2 linked regions of the Tribolium castaneum genome follow. The protein of the gene in region 1 purifies or fractionates together with the protein of each later gene. This does not show direct contact. Links are inferred from orthologs where the notes say so. Each region holds a gene or a part of one and is shown on either strand. Other genes may lie near its edges.

Region 1 (3,926 bases):
CACCAAACAATTGTCGAAAAACCCCGACCAGTACCCGGAGGACAACACGTTACCACACGTCCAAGTGGCTATCAGATACAACAAGCAAGGGGGGCACTATCGGGCTGGGGACACCGTCCCTTATCTGATCTGTGACGATGGGACGAAAAATCCGGCCACGCAACGCGCTTACCACATTGAGGAATTGAAAAATTCAGAAACGCTCAAAATCGACGTTACTTACTACCTCGCTAATCAGATTCATCCGGTGGTGAGCCGCATTTGCGAACCCATTGAAGCGTTGGACCTTGTGCAAATATCCGATTGTCTCGGGGTCGATAGCAGCAATTTGAGAAAAGTAAAGGTGGACGATGACAACGGAGAGAACGTAATAGATCCGGAAATAAAGTTCCGGAACGTCGACAAGTTTGTATTTAAATGTTTGGTTTGTGAGAGCGAAAACACCGTTGATGGTCCATTTTCTAACAATATTCCGGTTTTACAAAAGTGTCAGAATGCGCGCTGTAAGGCCAGGCCGGCCGATTACGTCCCCTTTATCCAAAATCAAATGACCGAAACGATAAATTCCTACATCGAGAAGTTTTATTTGAACGAAATGTACTGTGAGGATCCGATGTGTTGCAAGGAAACTGTGAGGATTCCGTTGAGCTCGTCAGGACGGGTTCCCTTTTGTCAAGTTTGTAACTCAGTCTTGATCAAGAAATATTCGGGTTTGAGTCTGTTCACGCAGATTACGTATTTCCAATACATTTTCGATTTGACTAAATTGAGTAAAAGTGAGTGGTTGAGGGTGAGATGAGTTCGAAATTGATTTTCTGTTTTCAGTGCCATCGCTGGAGCTTCAAGTCGAGAAAGCTTACCATGAAATAAAGGAAACTGTAGAAAGGCGTTACGAGTTTTGTGGCTTTTCGACCGTTAAGATGGAAAATATGTTTGCTTGGTGCGAACACAGGAAAAAGGAACAGGAGGATGAGGAAATTCCAGATTTTGCGATGGAAGAAAGTCTGCTTAATTTGATGTTGGAAGATGAGTGATTTTTATTATTGTACATTGGAATTATAAATGTTGCGTTATTTATGTACTCGTAGTTAAGTAAATTACAAATCTGGCGTAAAAATTCGTTGCTTAAAAAACCTACCTTTAAATCATTTGTAGTCATTCTGCGGTGGCATTTCCAGCTTTTTTTTGTGGCAGCACCTAGTTAATCTATGACCTAGCTCCCAAGAAATCCCCGAAGTAATTGAAAAGCGTGAAGCCTTTTTTCTTGTATATCTTTAACCATACGCGTATTGAAAAATACAGAACGAAGGGCAAATTTTAAATTTTCTCATGTTTTTGTCTGAAAATTTTAGTTTTTTGTTTTTTTTGCATTTTCACCATGTAATTAATTAGTGAATTGATTGGATTTAAGTTAATTTAAATCGTTTTGGCGCCGAAACGGTTTGATGCTCGAAGCGCCTCATTTTTACTCATTTGCCGTACTATTTTTTGGTTCACAAAGTCTCATTTCGTCTCCTAAATTATAGTCTCCGTAACAATTACCATTTTATTTGTGATTCTAACTTCTTATTATTGTATTAATTATTAATTTATGAATAAATTGAATTTGTGAATGTGTAGCCAACAAAACAAACCTAAATTCCCACTACTTCCCTGTTTTCGCGCCAAAACTGGCGTGTGTTGTGTGCAAACAGGTGGTCGTAAATAAACGTTAGTAAAACTCCAATTCCGGCTTGAAGTAGTGTAAATTCGCCAAAAATCATGAACCGACGTGATTACGACAAAGATAAAGGTGAGTCCAGTCTATAAATGGTTAATTTCCACCTTACCGGTTCATGTTTTAGAGACCATAAGAACCTTCTTGTTAGAGTTTTGCATTCAAGATGATTCCGGTCAGAAAAACTTTAAATATTCGAATCAGTTGACAAAACTGGCTCATCGCGAGCAAATAGCCCTTTACATCGAGCTTGACGATCTTTACGAACACGACGATGATTTAGCCAAAGCTGTAATAAACAACACTCGTCGGTACACGACTTTATTCTCCGACGTTGTCTTCGAACTGTTGCCCACATTCGTGGAACGCGAAGTCGTGGCCAAAGACGCTTTGGACGTTTACATTGAACACAGGCTAATGATGGAGCAGCGTTTGAGACAACCGAACGAGCAGAGAGATGCTCGTAATAAATTTCCACCGGAATTATTACGCAGATAGTAAGTTAAAAGTACCAGTTGGGTGGGCACTTTAAATTGGCGTTTTAGCGAAATCTACTTCAAAGACTTATCAACTACTAAAACCGTCCCAATTCGCGAAGTCAAAGCCGAACACATTGGGAAACTGGTCACCGTTAGGGGCATAGTGACGCGAAGCACCGAAGTCAAACCTATGATGACCGTAGCGACCTACACTTGCGACCAATGCGGGGCTGAGACCTACCAACCTGTCCACGGACTAAGTTTCATGCCGGTGTTGATGTGTCCTAGTGAAGACTGCCGTGTGAACAAATCAGGGGGGCGCCTATACCTCCAAACCCGTGGCTCCAAATTCGTCAAATTCCAGGAGCTCAAAATCCAGGAACACAGTGACCAAGTCCCAGTGGGGCACATCCCCCGGACTTTGACTATTTTTTGTCGGGGCGAAGTCACTCGCCTGGCCCTTCCGGGGCACCACGTGGCCGTCACAGGCGTGTTCCTCCCTTTGCTCAAGACCGGCTTCAAACAAATCATGGGGGGGCTCCTGTCGGAGACTTACGTCGAGGCGCACAGAATCGCTTTGGTGAACAAAACCGAAGAGGATGAAAGCTCGTCCAAACCCCTCACACCTGAAGAACTATCGGTCTTGACCGAAGACGATTTTTACACAAAATTGGCGGTGTCTCTAGCGCCGGAAATCTACGGTCATCTTGACGTTAAGAAGGCTTTGCTTCTTTTGCTGGTTGGGGGAGTGGACCGCAGACCTGACGGTATGAAGATCCGGGGGAATATCAATATTTGCCTGATGGGGGACCCCGGAGTCGCCAAGTCGCAACTTTTGGGGTACATTGATCGGTTAGCGCCACGAAGTGAGTCAATGGTTTGAATTTGATTGGGTTAGTTTAGGGGTTGTTTCAGGTCAGTATACCACAGGACGGGGCTCTTCGGGAGTGGGGCTCACTGCCTCGGTTATGAAGGACCCCATGACGGGGGAGATGATGCTGGAAGGGGGCGCACTGGTCTTGGCCGATCAGGGGGTTTGTTGTATTGACGAATTCGATAAAATGGCGGATGCGGACAGGACGGCCATTCACGAAGTTATGGAACAACAAACAATCAGCATTGCTAAGGTAGTGAGATTTTTTATTGTTAACGTAAAAAACACCATTTTATTCCACATTTACGGCCCCACATTTAAATTCTGACGGTTTTTCACACTTTTGCCCAAAAACTTGGACAAAATATCAGATTCAGCATCGTTTTTGAATCGTATTTAGCGTATTTGATGAACCGCCAGTTGTTTCACTACCAACGTTACAGCACCGAATGCCATGGCGCCTAATCCAAATGTATTTAATTGTTTATTGTTATTAGTGTATTTTAAATTGCAAATTGCTTGTTATTTTCAGGCGGGTATTATGACTTGTTTGAACGCCAGAGTCTCGATTTTGGCGGCGGCTAACCCGGCCTATGGCCGGTACAACCCGAAGCGGACAATCGAGCAAAATATCCAACTACCGGCGGCCCTTTTATCCCGTTTCGATCTCCTTTGGTTGATTCAGGATAAAGCGGATCGCGATAATGATCTGAAACTCGCCAAACACATCACATACGTGCACCAGCACTGCAAACAGCCCCCGACTCAAATCAAATCGCTTGATATGGGCGTTATGCGGAAATACATCGCACTGTGTAAGTTGAAAGAACCGGTGATTCCCGAAGATTTGACTGAA
Region 2 (3,662 bases), about 9.5 Mb from region 1:
ACCCTTTTATTCTAAAGTCAAGTAAATCTTTATCTTATGAATGCGTGCCTTGATAGTAGCGAATGAATTTTTAAGCAATTACAGCCCTACATAGCAATTATGAAACTATCGACGTACTTATTAAGAAATTAATAATAAAGCAATGGCATCTCTGAATATTGATCACTATACAGAGTGGCCACCCCATTAAAAATGTAAATTTCGAGCGTTCCTAACTAATGCTTGACCTAATAAAATTAAATTGTCGGTGTTTATAATTCATGACGAATTGGAATTTAAATGCGAGTGTTTGAGTTTTCTTGAGAACTTTAACAATTAAATTATTTGCCTAAAGAGGCAATTTTAGTATTTAGGAAAATGAAATATTAAATAAAATAATAGCTTTGTCTGCTTGATAATTATGCAAGAGCGATAAATAAAAAATCATCCAATAAAAGTGAATCGGGCCGAAATCGTAATTGTTTTAAACAATTTATCAATATTGGAATGCATGCATGGGATTCAAAGAAAAAGATAAGATAAAGCTAACATCAGATAAATGTTGCAATAATAGGAAAACCAAAATCTTTACCGCTTATTCGCAAATAAAACAAAACAGTTTAAAAAAAAAATTATTTTAAGAAACATTACATCGTGTTTACAATCAATAAATAAAATTCTATTCGACAGGAACAGTCTTTAAAAAATTACATTTTGCCTAAACAACTATCGTCCTGTAAAATCATGGACATCAGCTGTTTGTCCCTCAAAGTGGCACTAACTTCGCCTTCGTCCCAAACCAAGCTAACTTTGTTCATCCTAGGATCCTTCTTTTTAATAATTTTCACCATCCCTCTGGTCTCAATCAGGGAACAAAGTCCGACAAACTCGCCTTGATCAACAACTTGAATATTCCTTTTGGCACAAACCCTCCTATACACATCATGCAGTCGTCCAATCGTCACATCCTTATTTTTCGCCTTTTTCAAAATCAACAACAACGAACAAACAATAATTTTCTGTTGCAACGGGAACGAATCTTCAACTTCCTCATCCAGACTTTGCGTCGTTCCGTAGACTCTGTTCAAAACTTGAACGACTTGTCTCATATCAACACTTTCAAGCTTTTTCTCCTCCAATTCCGTTGCTAAATTTTCAACGGATTTGAGCACACATTCACCGCGTTTTTTCTTATCAGACATTTCAATTACTCGTCTCCCAATGTCTAAAGCGCGCCGAACGTCCCCCGAAATTGCGGCTACTTTACCCGCTAACATTTGTAAGGCGATTGGCGAGAATATGTCCAAAACATTGGCATTTTTCAAACGATTTGTGAATATTTCGACAATTTGTTGTTTGGTGTAAGGAGCGAAATGCATTAATTGGGGTTTTAACTCGCAACGGGCCTGCAGACGAGGAAGGATTCGGTCGGTCAAGTCTAGCGCATTTGCAATCCCTATTAGAATCAAGCGCGAGTTGGGATTTGCTGGCCATTCGAAAATTGTGTAAAGGACCGACTGTTTTTTGCTCTCTAATTGGTCGATCTCGTCAAGGACGAGCAGACTGCAGTAAAACAACTCTTATGAAATATTTCAATTTTACTAATGTTTAATACTTTACTTTATTTTAATATACTAATTTATTAATAATAAAAAAGAAGAGAGCTTAATTAGTTTTTGTAGAAAATTGTTGGCACAATTTAGAAAAAAAATTCGCAATTGAACTAAATAAAAAGTAGTACTTACATCGTCCTGTGTCCTTTTTGAAGGAACTTCTCAATCGCCCCCACGTAATCCTTCTCACTCTTCCCACTGGCCTTAATCCCTAAATCCTTGGCAATCCTCGAAAAAATCGACCCTGAGGACTTGATCGACGTACAATTAACATAAACGTGTTCAATCCCTGATGAGATTTGAGGATCCTCCAAAACCAAGTTCAACGAAGCGGTCTTGCCCGTTCCTGGGGGCCCACTTATATACAAAGTACCGGAAGTTCCTTCGTCCAAATGTTGCAAAATAAACTGTTTCAAATCCCCCAACTCCTTTTCACGACCTGGCAAATTCGTGGGACATGAACTGTGTAAAGCTCTCCTGGCATTCTGATACAAATCGTCTTCTTGAAATAACTTTTTCCGGTTTGATTTTTCGTTGGGACTCAGCAGCGACAGTCTTTCGAGCAAAATTGTGGGTGTGGATGGGGGAGTTTGTAGATTCTCATTATTTTCACTCATTTTGCGTTGTTTGGGGGGCGTCACAGTCCGATCTTCGGGGGGAGTTCTGGATTTGGTTTTGTAGGGGGTGTTTGGGGGCTTTTTGAACGGCGATTTCTCGGTCTCAGGCACATTTTCTTCTTCACTATCTGATATTATGATTGGTTTTCGGGTTCTTCGTCTAGTGTTCACTGATTCTGAAGAAGTTTGCTTCAGGTGAAGTCTTGTTGATTTTCTGGTACGTGGTTCCGGAGTCATTTTGATGAGGCACACAAATCAAAGTTCTAAAATTATGAGCAAGGGAAGCTTGCAATCACCACTTTTATGTAGTTAATGAGATAATAATGGCACTTTAATGAGGGTTAAAACAGCCACCATGTACTGACACTTGTCACTTTTCGCGCTTTTCGCGCCAACGCATACTGTAGGTCACGTGCCCAAGTAAATAAAAGCATTTGAACTAATTTGAGCAACTTTACTACGATTATTACTTAAACTTTAGTATTTTTTGTACAGTTTTGCATTTATTTCACGCATTTTTACTAGTATTTAGTGTATTTTGTATCTTTTTAATTAATTATTTAAGAATAGGTTAAATATACAGCCTGCTGAAGTAGGCTTACAATGCTCAGATGATTATCCTTATATGATTGTTTTTAATAAATTGCTTAAAGTTTTTTTAGTGTCATGTCAATAGGGTCAAAATCGTGAAAGTGGATACTCCATGTATCTTTTATAGTTGCTTTTTTAATTACAAAAACAAAATTTTACTTAGATTGCTTAAAGCTCGCGCTCCGGAAGTAGTAGTGTTCCCCTGGCGGAGTTTTCTAGAAACGTCGGCATAAACATCCCGAATTCCCCTACCGACATCCTCTTTCATTGCTATTTCTTGTTGTGTGAGGTTCACTCAAAAAATTTGCTGTTATTTTAAGAATCTTCTGGCTTTTTGAGCTAGGAATTCTTTTAACAGCTCAAAATGAGAGCGAAGGTGAGTGTTATAACAATATTATTTGTGATTTTTTCTCAAATGATGGAGAAAAAGTCGAATAATGTTAATTGATTGTTGAGACAAAAAGGCGGTTTTCCACTTTGTGATAGTATTAAAATTTATATAAGCAAAATTATTGTTAAATTATCTTGTTACGTGAACATTTTTTAAAGCAATTGTTGTGGAAATTGGCCAAATTCCAATATGACTTAATTTTGTAACCTCAGTTTGATAATCACAAATTAATTTTAATTTTTTTCCAGTGGCGTAAGAAGCGTATGCGAAGGCTAAAGCGAAAGCGCAGGAAGATGCGTGCGAGGTCTAAGTAGACTTCATGTAAGTGGTTTTAATTTCGTTAACCCCTGGTGGAAAACCCATACATTTGTTTAAGTGTGGTTAATTCACATTGGGGGCATAATAATTCACTGTTTCCACCTGTCTCGTTCACTGTTGACGTTACAGACTATGGCTGTGATACATTTTTTG

Evidence for each region.
Region 2: the proteins of Mcm7 (region 1) and Cdc6 purify together in Homo sapiens (affinity purification with western blotting; 3 studies listed by BioGRID). This does not show direct contact. The link is inferred for Tribolium castaneum from reciprocal best matches to the Homo sapiens genes MCM7 and CDC6.

Annotation. Positions count from the first base shown.
Region 1 is NC_087398.1:9,869,988-9,873,913, forward strand, and holds the start of Mcm7 (DNA replication licensing factor Mcm7), read left to right. Parts: upstream 1-1,654; 5' UTR 1,655-1,761; coding exon 1,762-1,792; intron 1,793-1,844; coding exon 1,845-2,214; intron 2,215-2,262; coding exon 2,263-3,062; intron 3,063-3,111; coding exon 3,112-3,323; intron 3,324-3,602; coding exon 3,603-3,926. Other genes in the region: PolA1 (DNA polymerase alpha catalytic subunit), read left to right, coding at 1-776, 826-1,034. UniProt on the Homo sapiens protein: Acts as a component of the MCM2-7 complex (MCM complex) which is the replicative helicase essential for 'once per cell cycle' DNA replication initiation and elongation in eukaryotic cells.
Region 2 is NC_087398.1:392,769-396,430, reverse strand, and holds Cdc6 (cell division control protein 6 homolog), read right to left. Parts: upstream 2,634-3,662; 5' UTR 2,447-2,633; coding exon 1,725-2,446; intron 1,543-1,724; coding exon 687-1,542; 3' UTR 599-686; downstream 1-598. Other genes in the region: RpL41 (ribosomal protein L41), read left to right, coding at 3,165-3,176, 3,440-3,505. UniProt on the Homo sapiens protein: Involved in the initiation of DNA replication. Also participates in checkpoint controls that ensure DNA replication is completed before mitosis is initiated.